Linked DNA regions of Mus musculus. The protein of the gene in region 3 interacts with the protein of the main gene of each other region in a biochemical or structural test. Links are inferred from orthologs where the notes say so. Each region holds a gene or a part of one and is shown on either strand. Other genes may lie near its edges.

Region 1 (4,834 bases), on a different chromosome or scaffold from region 3:
CCATTTGTAATGAGATCTGACACTCTCTTCTGGAGTGTCTGAAGACAGTTACAGTGTACTCACATATAATAAAAATAAATAAATCTTAAAAAAAAAAAGAAAATTTCTTTCAGAGGACACATAGGATAGGATGGTTTCCAGCAATCGTGTAGTAAGTAGCATAAGACCCTCTGCAGGTCCAATTCTAGAGCATCTGATGTCCTCTTCCAGATTTTGGGTACCAGGCATACACATGGTACACATAAATTCACCCCGGCTCATATATATACCCATTAAAACAAAATCCTTAAAAACAAACCCACAGAGGGATATGGTGGGGCATGGTTTTAGTTCCAATCCAGACAGAGGCAGGCAGATCTCTTGAGTTCGAACCTGCAACCTGGTCTGCAGAGGGGTTCCAGGACAGCTAGGGCTATACAGAGAAACTCTGTCTCAAAAAACCAAAACCAACCAACCAAAACAAACAAACAAACAAGCAAAACAACTACAAAAAACCAACCCCTCCCCTATCCCAACCATAAAGCTGGATTAGTCCCTAGGTGGGCAGTATTTCAAAATGGCAGATTCACTCAATGTTTGTTTCTTTGGTCTGGTGGGACAGTGCTAGGGAGGTAAGCCAGGGCCTTGTGCCTGCTTGCCCAGTAATTTTTATTACATGCCTAACGGAATCTGCTCCTCTTGTTCACTTTACTTGGAGTTCACAGAAGCTTCATGCTTTTGTGGGTAGAAATGGACCTGATTTCCTATGCACAGTTTTTGTTTTCTACAGTCCAGGTACAGGGAAGTAGGGATTGAACAAACACTTATTGAAAGAACAAGCAAGGGGCTGGAGAGATGGCTTAGCGGTTAAGAACACTGGCTGATTTCCCAAAGGTCCTGAGTTCAATTCTCAGCAACATGGTGGCTCACAACCATCAGTAATGGGATCCTATGACCTCTCTTGGTGTGTCTGAAGAGAACAACAGTGTAGTCATATACATAAGTAAATAAATCTTTAAAAGAAAGAAAGAAGAAACAAAATTGAGTGTCAATGTTACTTTTCCCCCTTCCCTTTTTTGTTTCTTTATTGCTACAGTGTTGACAAAGCACTCAACTGGGAAATGGGCAAGGAGGTTGGATAAGGTTGACTTTTCCTAATCTCGGCTTTCACACTTGGACTTTACATAGTAGGTGCCTTTTCTAGAGGAGTCTGATCTATTATGGATCCTCATCCCCAGACGGAGATTGGGTATCACTGTGCAGCGAAGGGGACCTGGGTCTTCTAATCCTCAGCCTCAAGTGTTGAGATTACAGGAGAATACCACCTGAATCCGAACCATTTATCAGGTTGTGCTAATCACAACTCTGCACTTTACTCAGTCTTACTATTTACTTAAACGTTTTCTGCTATGAGACTCATAACATTTTTATTTCAAGGACCATTCTGTGCATTCTTTATGAATTATCACCATGCACTCTATTTTGCGGCTGCTTAAAATGGTGCACACCAGTACTAAATTCGGCTTTGTAACAATGACTAATTCGCACACCTCCGATGTAGTGTTGGATGGCTGCTGGGTCCTCGCCAACATCTACCACTTCTGGTCCCATCACGCTTAGACCTCCTGCTTATACCGGGAGGCAGCGTCCTGACCCTCCGCGACCTCTTTGTCATGGCGTCCGCGGGGCGTCTACCAGCCGACGCTTCCGCAGCTGGGCGGGCGTGGACCTTCCCAAGATGGCGGGGCTGAGCCCACTGCGCGCGGTGGGCGGGGTTCCACCGCCGGAGGCGGGGCAGCAGGGCCGAGGGGTCGGGCTAGCAGGAGTGCTGCTTCTGAAGGAGGCAGGCTCAGCGCGCTTGCGCGGAGCGGCCCTGCGCGCAGTGAGGCAGTGGCGGGGGAAGGCACCGGTGGGGCCGACGGGCGGGCAGAGGAGGGAAGCGGGCGAGCGAAGTCCCAGTGCGCGCCGCGGCGGCCCGGGTACCCTCCCCTTCCGGGCGTGAGGCGCTGAGCGAGGAAAGCCGAGCGGAGCGGACTCGCATAGGCGGCGAGGTGCTTCTCGGGTCTCCCAAGACCGGCCTCCCCGCGGCTTCGGCGCTCCGGTCCGGGTTCCTCAACACACATCTAGCTCCAGGCACCGGCAGAGCTTGTCGCCAGTCCGTCGAAGTCCCGGTGGCGGCCCGGGCTCTCGGTGGGGAGGATGACGGAGCTGCAGTCGGCGCTGCTACTGCGAAGACAGCTGGCAGGTGAGCGGCGGGGCGCCGGGCCGCGATCGCGGACTGCCGAGCCACTCGCCTCCTCTCGCCCGCTCGGAGGCTGGGTGGTGGCGGGCCGCGAGGGTGGGAGCCCGCGAGTCGCGGCGAGCTGGCGACACTCCTGGCCCGGCTGTGGAGGGTGTTGGGGGCGGGGACGCTCCCCAGCCTCGCCCTCGGACGGGCCGGACGCCCTGGGCGGCTGCCCCCTCCCCCACGGCACTGGGGCGTTGCGGGGGAGGGGCGTGGGTCCCGGTCGGGCCGACCCTCCCTGAGGGGCGGATCCCGGGCTCAGGTGCGGCGGAGGCCGCGGAACCTCGGGGACCCCGGGAGCTTGCGGGGTCCCCGCGCGGCTGTGAGTCCGAGCCGTGTCGGGGGCCGGAGAGGGGAGGCGCGCCAAACTTCTGGCCCGGCAGCGCGGGGTTCGCGGAGTTAGGGCAGACAACAAAAGCGACGGCGGGGCTGGCCCGGGTGCTGACGCGGGGCACCGGGGGGCTCGGCGGGGAGCGCGACTCCGCTTCGCCTGCCTCCGCCTGGCACGAGCTCGGGCTGCGCCGCCCGTCTGGGGGAGGGTGGGCGCGGGCGCTGGGGAGAGCGGCTCGCTGGCCGGCCCGGGCTTTGTGCTCCGTGGGCACGGCTCGGGCTCCTTCGCGCAGGCTCGCGGCCACCGGGCTGCGGCCCGCCTTAGGCTCTGGCCAGGGGCGGCGGCTCAGTGCCTCCCCCGTGGAGTCTCTGTCCCCCTCCCCCATTGTCCCGGCCTCTGGCCGTTTGCGGCTTCCAGGTTGACTTTTTAGGGGGTTGGCTCCTACTCTGCTAGGACTGTGTGAGCGGAGCATGCGCGCTGGAGGCGTACGTGTGCGGAGTGGAAGGGGGGGAGGGAGGAGGCGGGTTGGTGCCTTCACAATGCCGCCCCACGTGCTGCCAGATTTAAAGAGAAATGAACCGGTAGTTAGCCCTGCTGTCCTACGCCAAGCGTGTGCCTGGCTTGGTTCAGGCGACTTCACCCCTCCTCAACCTGTAGCCAGTCCTCTCCCCCCACCCCCCTTTTAAACTTTCTGAAAGCCGGAATGTTGATAAATGAAATAGATTTCTATGAGTTTGAGGTGTCAGCTAAATCACCTTTATGACTTCTTAAGGAAAAGGTCGACAGGGGCTGTTACAGATTGTATAATTAGGTTTATTATTAGACCATGAGCTAACAGGTTTGGACAAGTATTAAAATTCTAGGTGGGACAGCAATTTGAAGTGGATGGAAAAGTTAGAATCCCCATCAGAAATATTTTCGAAAGAAGTTAAACAATTTATTGCATCTTATTTAAAAACATTCTTTTTCTGAGGTCTTTTTCGCCTTTTGTTTTGGATGAAGGAATTAAAATTTTTGACTTAGTAGGAATTCTTTATCGAAACCTGCCTGGTCTACTGTAGTGGATTCTGGGACATCAAGGGCTATGTAGAGAAACTCTGTCTCAGAAAACAAAAACAAAAACTAACAATAAAATCAACTATCTGCATTAATTTTTATTATGTGGCAAATTATTAAATAGACGGTAAACACTGAATATTAAAAGGATAACCTTACATAGTGGAAATGACATACATTTTTAAAGGTGCAAAAGATTTTACAGTTTAACAATACCACTATGTTAAAATAAGACCCATTTGTGAGCATCTTTTTTTTGGGGGGGTGCTGAGGTTAGACAGTTTTTCTAAGGAGTCCTTCACTGTCTGGAACTCACAGAAATATGCCTGCCTGCCTCTCTCTGCCTGTCTCTCTGTGTCTGTCTGTCTGTCTCTCTCTCTCACAGGTTTTCTCTTATATAACCCTGATTGTTTTGGAACTCCATGTAGATCAGGTTGGCCTTGAACTTAACACAGATCTGTCTTCTGCCTTCCAAGTGCCTGCCCCCCACCTTCTTGTTCTTTGAGCTGGAATTTGAATCCTGTACCACCATACTAGGTTTATTTATTTTATTTTCCACAGAAATAATAAATAATAGTTTAAATCATATTTTAGGGATACTTAACTTTCTCAAAATGTATGGAACAAAGTTTGTTGGTTGAAATGTGAAAATATTAAATTTATTTGAGAAGACTGGATGAGCACCTAAAAATAAAGGCTTTTTCTTTTTTACTTTAGCATTTTTAAATGAGTTTTCTTATCACTTGAAAATAGTAAATGGTAAAATATAATCTTGAAATGAATGAACTTGTATAAATGCCTTAAAAATACTAAATTGAGCTGACTAGGTAACATAATCTGATAAAGTGTCCTCAGTGCTAGAGTTTCAGAAATGTATAGCAGTGGCTGCATTTGTTGAACTAGTAGTTTGCCAGTGATAAAAGGTTTTGATTCATTACCTAGGAGAATTTATCCTGTAACGAGGCTTTGTAAGCATTCAGTTGAGCAGAATGGTGCCCTGAGTGACAGAATTTCTCATTTCTGGTACCATGACATTTAGGGCAGTTGTTGCTGTGGAGGGTTGTACCTGTGCAGTAAAGGTTACAGCATTCCTGTCTGTACCTACTAGATACCAGTAGTACATCCCTTCATTGTGACAGTGAAAAATATATCTATTGCCAAAGTTCCCTGAGACGGAGTCATTG
Region 2 (4,842 bases), on a different chromosome or scaffold from region 3:
AAAGGAATTTAAACTAGATAGAGCCAGGTGTGAGGGTACATCTGTGCCTTTGACCTCAGCAACTCTGGAAGCAGAAGCAAGTCTATCTCTGAGAGTTCTAGACCAGCTACACAGGAATAAACAGCAAGACTCTGTCTTGAAAAAACAAAACAAACCATACTCAACAGGAAATAAAGACTTTTTCTTCCTTTCCTCCCTCTGGTTACACAGCCCTGGTTGGTCTAGAACTTACTGTATAGAGGAGGCTGACCTCAGATTTGCTTGCATAACTTGTCCTGCCTTTGCTTCCTGACTGTTCAGATTTCAGGAGCACCTCTGGGTCTGGACAGTACTGGAGATGGAACCCAGGGTTTTCACTATGCTAGACAAGCTCTCTACAAATGAGGTACACCCCTGGTCCCCAAAGGTAATCTTTTTCAAAAGGACTAAAGCTATGATTTGTATATTTTGTTGTAGGTGTGTTGCTGGAGTTTAAAAAAAAGAAAATCTGAGCTTTGGGAATGCTAGGCAAGTATTCTACCACTGCGCTACAGCCCTAGCACAAAGCCTTTATTATTTTATTATTATTATTGTTGTTGTTGTTTGAGACAGGGTTTCTCTGTGTAGCCCTGGCTGTCCTGGAACTGGCTCTATAGACCAGGCTGGTCTCAAGCTCAAAAATTCAAGTGCTTTTGCCTCCTGAGTGCTGGGTTAAAGGTGTGAGCCACCACTGCTCAGCTTTATTTTAAATTAGTATATGCTACAGGAAATATTTCCATTTTATCAATTCAAAATCATTAGTAAGCAAAAGTCTTACTTTCATAGCTTTTTAAAAACAAATTTCAATAAGAGATTAACTACCATTTACCTTAACTATCAATTGTTCCAGAAATAATACTTTTTGGAAAATAGACTGTATCCTTAAGCTCAGCATGGTGCTACTTTAATCCCAGAACCTGGAAGGCAGAGGCAGAGGCAGAGGCAAGAGGCTATCTGTGAGTTCAAGGCCAGCCTGGTCACAGAGCAAGTTCCAGCATAGCCAGGGCTACAAAGAGAAACCCTGTCTCAAAACAAAAACAAAAACAAAAACAAATAAATAAAACAAAACCATCCTCTTTAAAATTAACCAGTAGTCTGCTTTGAAAATGTTTTCTAGGAAATATATCATATGAACTCCACTTTGTGCAATACTCTCAATATCTATAAATTAAAATTTATATTTGACATATAGCATACCTCAACATAGAAACAATACCCTTTCCAATCTATCACTAATAAACTGGAACCTTTGCTTAAACTTTAAGCACCTGCATCTAAAAAGTATACTTGTATGCTGACCACAAAAGATGAAGCAAACAGTTGGTAAGGATGCTACACTCTTATATAACGTTCTAAAAATGTCCTTTTACTAAGTATTCAGCAACTATCACATGCATGAATGTTAAGCATTCCCTATCAATCCTATTTTCAAAAAAGTTGACCCAGTTTAAAGCCTGAAATTTGAGGCTTTTGGACGGTAGAAAATAAGAGGTAAGTAGTTGGGCAGTCCTAAAAATACCCATCACAACTACATGACTAAGATATTCGTTTAAAACTTGTGCCAAGATAACCCCTCCCTTCAAAACAAACGAAAACTGACTCATTGGCCTATTTTACCTAATTTTGGAAATAAAATAATAAATGAATTCCTAAACACCCATTCCCTCTGTCTCTACCCCCCACAACATCTTCACTCAGGGATTCTACCCTCCAAATAAACTGCTTCAGTCAAATCAAGACAAAACAAAACAAAACAAAACAAAAACAGTATCTCCAAGTACTGAACTCAGAAATAATTAATGGAAACAATGTCTATATAGTGGCAGCCTAAGGAAACACTCCACCATGAGAAAGCCTATCACCTCGGATGCAGCTCATCTGTGGGACGACCCCATTTGTTGGAGCTAACCACCTAAGCAAAAGCTTTTAATCTTGTCTCTCGAAAGTGGGAAACTATCAATCTGCCTGACGCGTTCCACCCTTTGTGGATGTTTGTACATGGAGTGTGTGGGGGGGGGGGGGGGGGTGCTAGTAAACTTGGTAGGAAAGGACAAAGGGCATTTTGGAAGCAGCAGAGACTGACTATAAAGTAAATGGAAAACGAGGACAGAAAGAGGACTAAATTAAAGTCCCCTCGAGTGGATGAACAACAAGACAACGGCCAGCACACCACCCTCCCTTTTTTGGCCACCCCCATGGTCCTCTTCCTTATTACCACCTACTGTAATCAAAAGTTGGACTACCACTACCCAAGACCAACAAATCCTCCAAATGTCAGGGCACTAGCAACACGGGCAATGACAGGCTAATATTCCTCCCCCACACCCCCCTAAAAAAGAGAAAAGTCCAATCCAGTAAGTGCAGGTCACCCTGCCCTCTGGGGCAGTTCCAGCCTGCGCAGAGAAGGCTCAGATGGGTCCGAGAAAGAGAAGCTAGACCATCCCTATTTCCACACACCCCTCAGCTGGAGAAACAAAACAAAGGCAGCCCTCCTTCCCGATAGCCACTACCCCAGCCAAAGAGGCTTTTCCTATTTCCCGGTGCAGTCTGGCCTCCCGCCCCCGCCCCATGACAAAGAAAAGGCACTTGGTGAGCAAGGCCTTCCTGCCTCTACGGATGGGGGAGGGGGCTGCGAGGTGAGGAGCCCCCACCCCCCACCCCCGGCTCCCCCGAGCTCACGCTCCCCGCCAGCGGCGGAAAGCCGAGACCGGGGAAGCTGGGCCGAGAAAGGGTGGCGGTACCTTGAAGTAGCCGCCTTCGTAGAGGGTGTTAGGGGGTCCGAAGATGGCCACCTCCCAGTTGTAGAGGTCGGACTCATCCACCAGGGTGATCCGGAAGCCCTCCACCGGTTCCTCCTGCAGGGATTTCAGCTCAAGCATCAGGGCTTTCTGCGAGCTGGTCATCTGCTGCTGGGCCATCGCGGCGGCGGCGGCCGTGCGGGGCCGCGGCCCCAGTCCTCGCGCACCGGCCGGGCCGGACCAGGCCCCTCCCCTCCGCTCGCCCTCGGGCCGGGCCGGGCCCCTGTCTGTCCTCACACGCCTGGCGGGGCCGGACCAGGCCCCAGACGGCCCGCGGGCCCGCCCGGGGTCCTCCTCACTCACGACTCGGGCCGGCCCGGGCCCTCCTCACACTCGGGCCGGGCGGGGGCGGGCCTAAGGGAGTTGGGGGAATCCGCTCCGGGCTCCGGGCCTCCCCCCCCCGGAGGGGGCCTCTACTTATGGGGGGGGGAGTGGAGGTGGAAGCGAAGGAAGGCGGCGGAGGGCAGACGATGGTGAAGACAGGGGTGGGGGGGCCGAGGCGGCCCGGGATCGCCGTGCTCGCTCGCCCTCTCGTTCTCCGCGGGGGCCGGAGGGGCGCACGAGGGAGGGCGCGCCGTGCGCTGGGGTCTCGGGACGGCGGCGGCGGCGGCTGCGCGGGGGGAGGGGCGGAGGAGGAGAGCGAGAGCGCCTCGCGCCGCGGGAGCAACAGAGCAGAGAAGGAGGGAGGGAGGGAGGGAGGGAGAGGAGGAGGGGCGCGCGCCGGGAGGGGGGCGGCTCGCGGCGACAGCGGCCCGGTGCGCGTGCGCGCGCCCCTCCCTCCCTCCTTCCCTCCCCCCCCCCCCGCCCTCCTCGCTGTGCTCTGCTCTACTCTGCTCCTGCCTGCTCGCTTCTCCACTCCCCCCTCCAACCCCCACCCCCAACCCCGGCCAGGCCCCACGGTGGCTGCGCTTTGTGACGCTTGCGCGTGTCCCCCACCCTTAAAGAGCCAAGCGGAGGTGGGGATCAAGGGCGGGTCGCAGAGGATTACTTTGGGCCCTAAGTGACGGTTGTGCGGCTGGACGCCGCGGTTCCAGAGGCGTGTCCCGGAAGGAACCTCAGCTCCTAAGGCTCTCAGCACTAGCGCCCAGTGTGTCCCCTGGCCTCCGCAACCTTCCTGTGAGGAGCCCTGGTCCTCCGCATGCACCCCTCGGTGACACCCAGGCTGTGGTCCTTACACTTAGTAGTGCTTCAGTAGGTTGTGTCTCCCACCTCAGGGGAGGCAGTCTCCCAAAGGAAAGCTAGAGAAAAGCAGGCAAGCTCCCGCTTCCTTTTACCGAGAGTAAGTAGTAGGTTGTGTAGAAAGCGGAGAGAACTAATGTTGAGCCCGATTACGGGGCTTCCATGAGATTTGGGGAAGAGCGCTGGCTATAACTTAGTCTACTTCTTTGCAAAATATTGATGTTGGCCTAGTGTGGCCTTGGAAGGGGACAAAAGCAAAATGATCAGTGTGAGGCCAACCTGGTCTACTTAAGTAGTTCCTTACCAGTCAGTACTACATAATGAGACCCTCTCTCTAAAAACAGACGGCTGCGGTGGAGCTTTTTAACTCTACGGATCTACCTGGCCGTGGCGTGGCTAGGGAGACACAGTCTTCAGTTCCTGGATTAGAATACTCTAGGATTGTTTGCTATAATGGTGGCACATACTTTTGATTCCAGCACTTGATAGGCAGAGACAGTCTGATTGTGAATTCAAAGATAGCCTGGTCTACATAGCAATTTCCAGGCAGCCAGAGCTACATAGAGACCCTGTCTTTAAGAAAGAAAGAAAAAGAAACAAAGAAACAGAGAAAGAAAAAAGAAACAAAGACCTCAGAACACCGAGACAAGTTCCAACCCAAACATTTTGGGTTCAGAAAGCTTCATTCTAACTCCTTACTTGATCAGATTCTGTGAAAGAAGATTAAATACACCTAACGCCAGGAATGGTAATGGTTAAATTAAATCTACAGCTTATAAGACTTTTTTTTTACAGAAGTTTTAGGTTTACAGAAACAGTAAAGTTCTCATGTACTTAGCACCCAGTT
Region 3 (5,079 bases):
CAGCGAGTGAATGCTCTTAACCACTGAGCCATCTGTCCAGCCTCACCTGGTTTCATGTTTTACACCTGTTTGTTGCAGTGCTGGAGATGCAATGCAGAGCCTTGTGTACACTACAACTGAGTTATATCGCTAGAGTTTTGATAGTGTATTTTTAATGTGTGTTTGCTGTATTTAGATCTACAAATACAATCGTGTTAAGGTTGCTTATGGTATTCAGCACAGTAACAACGTGTGCAGGTTTGGAAACTAGGAGAAGTAAGTTCATAATATAGCCTAGGTGTGTAACAGGCTACCTCATCTAGGTTTGCGTAAGTACTTTATAGAATGTTCACACAATAACAAAATTGCCCAATGCCTTTATTCAAATGTACATGTATTACTGCCTCCTCCCCTCAATCTCACCATCTTGTTTTCTGTAGCATGTATTGCCACCTGAGACACCTTGATATAGTTGTTGATCTGTGTTTATTTCCTTACTGAGTTGACTTCACTGTGGCTTTCCTGTTTAAAGCAGAACCCAGTGTAGCTGAGCATGGTGGTTCTCCTCCCTCTATCCCTAGCACTTGGGAGGTAGAGGCAACAGAATTGCTCAGATTTCAAGGCCAGCCTGGGCTACAGAGTGAGGCCCTATCTCAATAATAATAATAATAATAATAATAATAATAAACCAAAAATTAAAAGACGAAGTAACATACTCAGGATAGTTGTTGACGAATGGATAAATATGTCCTCAGTATCTTAATTAACTATGGGTTTCTAGCATCCCTTAGGGGGTCTGTAGACACATAGACCAATGACAGATTTAGTGTGGGAGGTAGAACTTGGGCAGACACACACACACCTTGCAGGGCTCTCACAAGTCTCTGTGCAAGTTAAAACTGTGGTGGTATTCAGGATGTATTGCCCTGCTTAGCAAGTGCATCAATGACACACCGCATTACACACCAGCAAGTATTTCTTTTAACAGAACATTTCAGGACAGGCAGTGGTGGCGCATGCCTTTAATCCCAGCACTTGGGAAGCAGAAGCAGGCAGATTTCTGAGTTCGAAGCCGGCCTAGGTCCAGTCCTGAGTTCCAGGACAGCCAGGGCTACACAGAGAAAAACCCTTTCTGGGGGGGGGGAGGGGCACATTTCCGGTAAAACCCTTTTTGTTGTACTGTTGAGGGAACTAGAACACACAGGAAATTCAAGGGTGATGTATTCTAGTCATAACTCCGCAAATTTAGGAGACAAAACAGCGGAGGGCTGGACTAATCATGGAAGCTTACAAAACGTATGTGTTCTGTAGCTCGATGGTAATGACCGGTAAGAAAATCAGAATGCCTCACCAGAACTCAAGTTCAGCCACTACAAATGTACTAATTTAATCGTAGCACAGTAGCAAAACTCGATAGGAAATGAGGAGAAAGGAGGACCATTTAGAACTGGCTGGTTATGGGATTTACTATGGCATCCCCATCACCTTTCCTGTGAGAAGATAAAGGCAAAGTTGCAGAATGCCTGCTCTGTTTGCTCCTGGGCCTCTTCTCTCCCTATCAAATAATTTCCCAATCTGAAATTGATAACGCAGACGGTGACCAGGCCTTGGTAAGCCGGGCCACAGGCCTCCAGAGAGACACCGCCTGGCTCCGAAGCCGACCACGGTCAGCAGAAGGCCGGTTTGGAGTTTCGGGTTTCCAAAGACCAGCCCATGCCCTTTGCAACCACGGACTCGGGGGCAGCTCTGTGGATCTGGACCAGGGCTTAAGTCCTGGGGCAGAAGAAGGAAGCAGCCGCCGCCCCAAATGAAGGAGTCAGACCACAGGGCTTCCCAGAATGCGAGAAGCATCGAGACCTCACGGACGTTCCCACCGGTTGGCTCCCTTCTCTCGGCCCCGCCCGGCCCCGCCCGGCCCCGCCTCAATCACTCCAGCCTCCTCCCCAGCTGAGAGAGATGGGGAGGAGGGGGGCGGGAAACCTCCGCCTGCGCCTTTAAGGGGCGTGACCGCAGGCTCCGCCCCTTCTCCACGCTCGCGCCAATGAGGGGAGGGGTGCGGGAGGAGGCGCCTGGTGTGCGGGGCAGGCGGCGGAAAGTGAGCCGGTGCGCAGGCGCAGTGGTCACACGACAGACTGTGTGTTTCCAAAATGGCGGCGGCGATGGATGTGGATACCCCCAGCGGCACCAACAGCGGCGCGGGCAAGAAGCGCTTTGAAGTTAAAAAGGTTGGGCTCGCCAGCGCCTTCCTCAAGGAAGCTAGGGAGGCGCGGATATGGCTGGCAGGCCCGAGGAAGAGCTAGGCGCGGGGGAAAGGGCTTCATTTCAGGGCGTTCCTGGGACCGGGCACCAAGAACGGAAGCCGGGGGGCGGGCCTAGGGTTGATCGGCATGCTGGTGGCCCAGTGTCTGGGGCCCTATTAGTCTTGCTGGGGAAGCTGTGGGGCCAATCGCAGAGCTGCTTACTGAAATACGCGAGGTTGACTTCGATGCGGGAGCCAAGCGCTTGAGCTGTCACTGAAGTGACTGAGAGGTGGGGGAAGGACAGGGTGGGGTGGGTGGGATGCAGACTCGTGAAGAGACTGCGGCGGGTGGAGGATGGGGCCGTGCGGAGAACCCCGGGAACGTGAGATGACAGCGCAGAGGGGCTCTGCCGGTGTTCTTGCTCCGCCCCTTCCTGGATCCTAGAATCTATTGACTCCGAGGGACCTGGCGTGGGCCCTCGATTGTATGGCGGCCTCCATTGGCCTCTAAACCCACAGTCAAGTGTAAAGCTTGGTTCTAACGAGATGGCTACTAGTTGTCACATAGCATCTGCCACTCCAGTGGTTCTCTGATGTCCCTGTACACTTCTAACACAAAATGATAATTTAAAAGCCTGGTGGGCTTTGTTTTAAAAGCAAGCCCAGAACTTGTGCCATTTAAGAAGGTGGAGTACTAATTGCTAATGACCTGAGAACAGAAAAACAAAAATATGAAACGTCCTTTTGTATGCCGTTCCCCTTCATAGTTTGCTAGTCCTTTAAAAGTGTTGATTCCTACCTAAGATTACACAGATCTGTTAAAAATGAAGATCTTGAAGAGGGCAAGGTGTTTTCTTTTTATGGATTATTTTTGGAACGTGTCGCTGAGAATATCCCTCACCCCACCCCCTTTTTGTGTCATCTCATTGTGGCCACTGCTGCTCAGTTACAGCCTGCAGCCATTATGAAAAATAAAAATGTAATGTAGAATTTACTAAACTCTTATGCTTGAATTTGGAAAGTCAAACCAAAGTAGTCCTTGAAAAGGGTGCCTTGTCTAACATAAGAAGTCTTAGGTCGACTTACTGGAGCTAACAAAGTAATTGTTTGGATATATGAACGTTGAGAACATCAGTTTACTTGGTAAGAGGAAAAGAAAATCGCAGTGGATTCTACTTTGCTTGCAGTGCTCTTTTAAGGTTTAAGTGATGACCTCGTTCTGTGTACTGAAACTGGGTAGGTAACTTGCTATCCAGCTTATCCTGTGATTATCCACTTAGTGGTCCATTTATTATCTTAGTTCAGTCTGTTCACTTCCTTGCCTCTGAGTCCAAAACTTTGTGGAGAGCCCGTGCTTATGCAGATTTTGAGTTCTTCCACAGCTGTCAGGGAAAGCTGTACAGAAAATAGTACTAATATTCTCACGTTGGTTTGGCTAGCTAAATTATTTTACATTATATATAAAAAATTGAAGATACCCATGTTCATATACTTCATCTTTCAAGGAATGGGGAAGTGTACAGGTGGTCTGCTGTTGTCCTCTGATATAGTCCAAATAGTATAATCCAAAAACATCCTTTCTTTGGTAGGCCCTGTGGCTGGGGCGTTGGTAACTGAAGCTGCAAGCTGAAGTCCTAATGAGCTGTTAGATTACAAGGAAAATGCATTGTTTCCCCTCTTCTCCTTGCAGTGGAATGCAGTGGCCCTCTGGGCCTGGGACATTGTGGTTGATAACTGTGCCATCTGCAGGAACCACATTATGGATCTTTGTAAGTAACTCGGGGCAGATGGGAAGAAGTTGAGAAGGTTACAGAAATGGTGGTCATCCTGGTGTGCCCAATTGTCTTCTTTACCAGTGAATACAAAGCAGGCTCAGAACCCTTAGGCACTTGTGTATCTCATCCATTGGTGTGTTTGAAGTAGATTGTTTTGTGGTTGTTTGTGGAGACAGAGTTTTTTGTGTAGCCCTAGCTCTACTAGAACTCACTTTGTAGTAGACCAGGCTGGCCTTGAACTAGAGATCCACCTGCCTCTGCCTCCTGAATTAAATTGTTTCTTTTCTTTTCTTTTTTTTTTTTTTTTTTTTTTTTTTTGTGGGGTTTTTTTTTTTTTTTTGTGGGTTTTTTTTTTTTCTTTCTTTCTTTTTTTTCCCCCCAGACAGGGTTTCTCTGTGTAGCCCTGGCTGTCCTGGAACTCACTTTGTAGACCAGGCTGGCCTTGGACTCAGAAATCCACCTGCCTCTGCTTCCCAAGCGCTGGGATTAGAGGCGTGCACCACCACCGGTTAAGTTGTTTCTTAAAACAATGTCTTGGAGGCGTACCTTGCTCTCAGAATGAATTATTCATTGTAAATCAGGCAAGATCCCATTTAAAATGGGGTGTAGATAGAGTTGCCTTTTATTTCCTTCTTAGACAGCCATAAAGGCAAAAATAGTGGAAGAAAATGACCTTTGAAGGTAGATATAGTGGTATATGCCTGGAATCCCAGCATTTGAAAGGCAGTGGCAGGAGTATTGTTACAAATTACAGGCCCATCAGGGCTAAGATTTGAACTACAGTACTCTTACCTAAGCTAGTTTTTGTTGAACAAGATTACAATCACAGATTGGAGAGATGGTTCAGGAGTTAAGAACATTGGCTGCCCTTCCAGAGGACCCCGGTTCATTTCCCAGCAACCACATGCAGGCTCACCTTGCATAGACTATCACTTCAGTCCCAAGGGATTTAGTGTCATCTGCTGACTTTCAAGGTCACCAGACACACTCCAGTGTAGGCAAAACACCATACATAGTAAATGAATGAAGTCAATAAGTTAAAAGTAAATTTGCAGCCAGCACTATGTATTCTAAAGTGTTACATTT

What was found.
Region 1: the proteins of Rbx1 (region 3) and Ube2g1 form a complex in vitro, tested with the Homo sapiens proteins (8 studies listed by BioGRID). The link is inferred for Mus musculus from reciprocal best matches to the Homo sapiens genes RBX1 and UBE2G1.
Region 2: the proteins of Rbx1 (region 3) and Ube2r2 form a complex in vitro, tested with the Homo sapiens proteins (10 studies listed by BioGRID). The link is inferred for Mus musculus from reciprocal best matches to the Homo sapiens genes RBX1 and UBE2R2.

The regions. Positions count from the first base shown.
Region 1 is NC_000077.6:72,605,412-72,610,245, forward strand, and holds the start of Ube2g1 (ubiquitin-conjugating enzyme E2 G1), read left to right. Parts: upstream 1-1,849; 5' UTR 1,850-2,178; coding exon 2,179-2,224; intron 2,225-4,834. UniProt on the Homo sapiens protein: Accepts ubiquitin from the E1 complex and catalyzes its covalent attachment to other proteins. In vitro catalyzes 'Lys-48'-, as well as 'Lys-63'-linked polyubiquitination. May be involved in degradation of muscle-specific proteins.
Region 2 is NC_000070.6:41,134,164-41,139,005, reverse strand, and holds the start of Ube2r2 (ubiquitin-conjugating enzyme E2 R2), read right to left. Parts: upstream 2,986-4,842; 5' UTR 2,937-2,985; coding exon 2,760-2,936; intron 1-2,759. UniProt on the Homo sapiens protein: E2 ubiquitin-conjugating enzyme that accepts ubiquitin from an E1 ubiquitin-activating protein, and catalyzes its covalent attachment to other proteins by an E3 ubiquitin-protein ligase complex.
Region 3 is NC_000081.6:81,464,247-81,469,325, forward strand, and holds the start of Rbx1 (E3 ubiquitin-protein ligase RBX1), read left to right. Parts: upstream 1-2,069; 5' UTR 2,070-2,126; coding exon 2,127-2,204; intron 2,205-3,908; coding exon 3,909-3,987; intron 3,988-5,079. UniProt on the Homo sapiens protein: E3 ubiquitin ligase component of multiple cullin-RING-based E3 ubiquitin-protein ligase (CRLs) complexes which mediate the ubiquitination and subsequent proteasomal degradation of target proteins, including proteins involved in cell cycle progression, signal transduction, transcription and transcription-coupled nucleotide excision repair.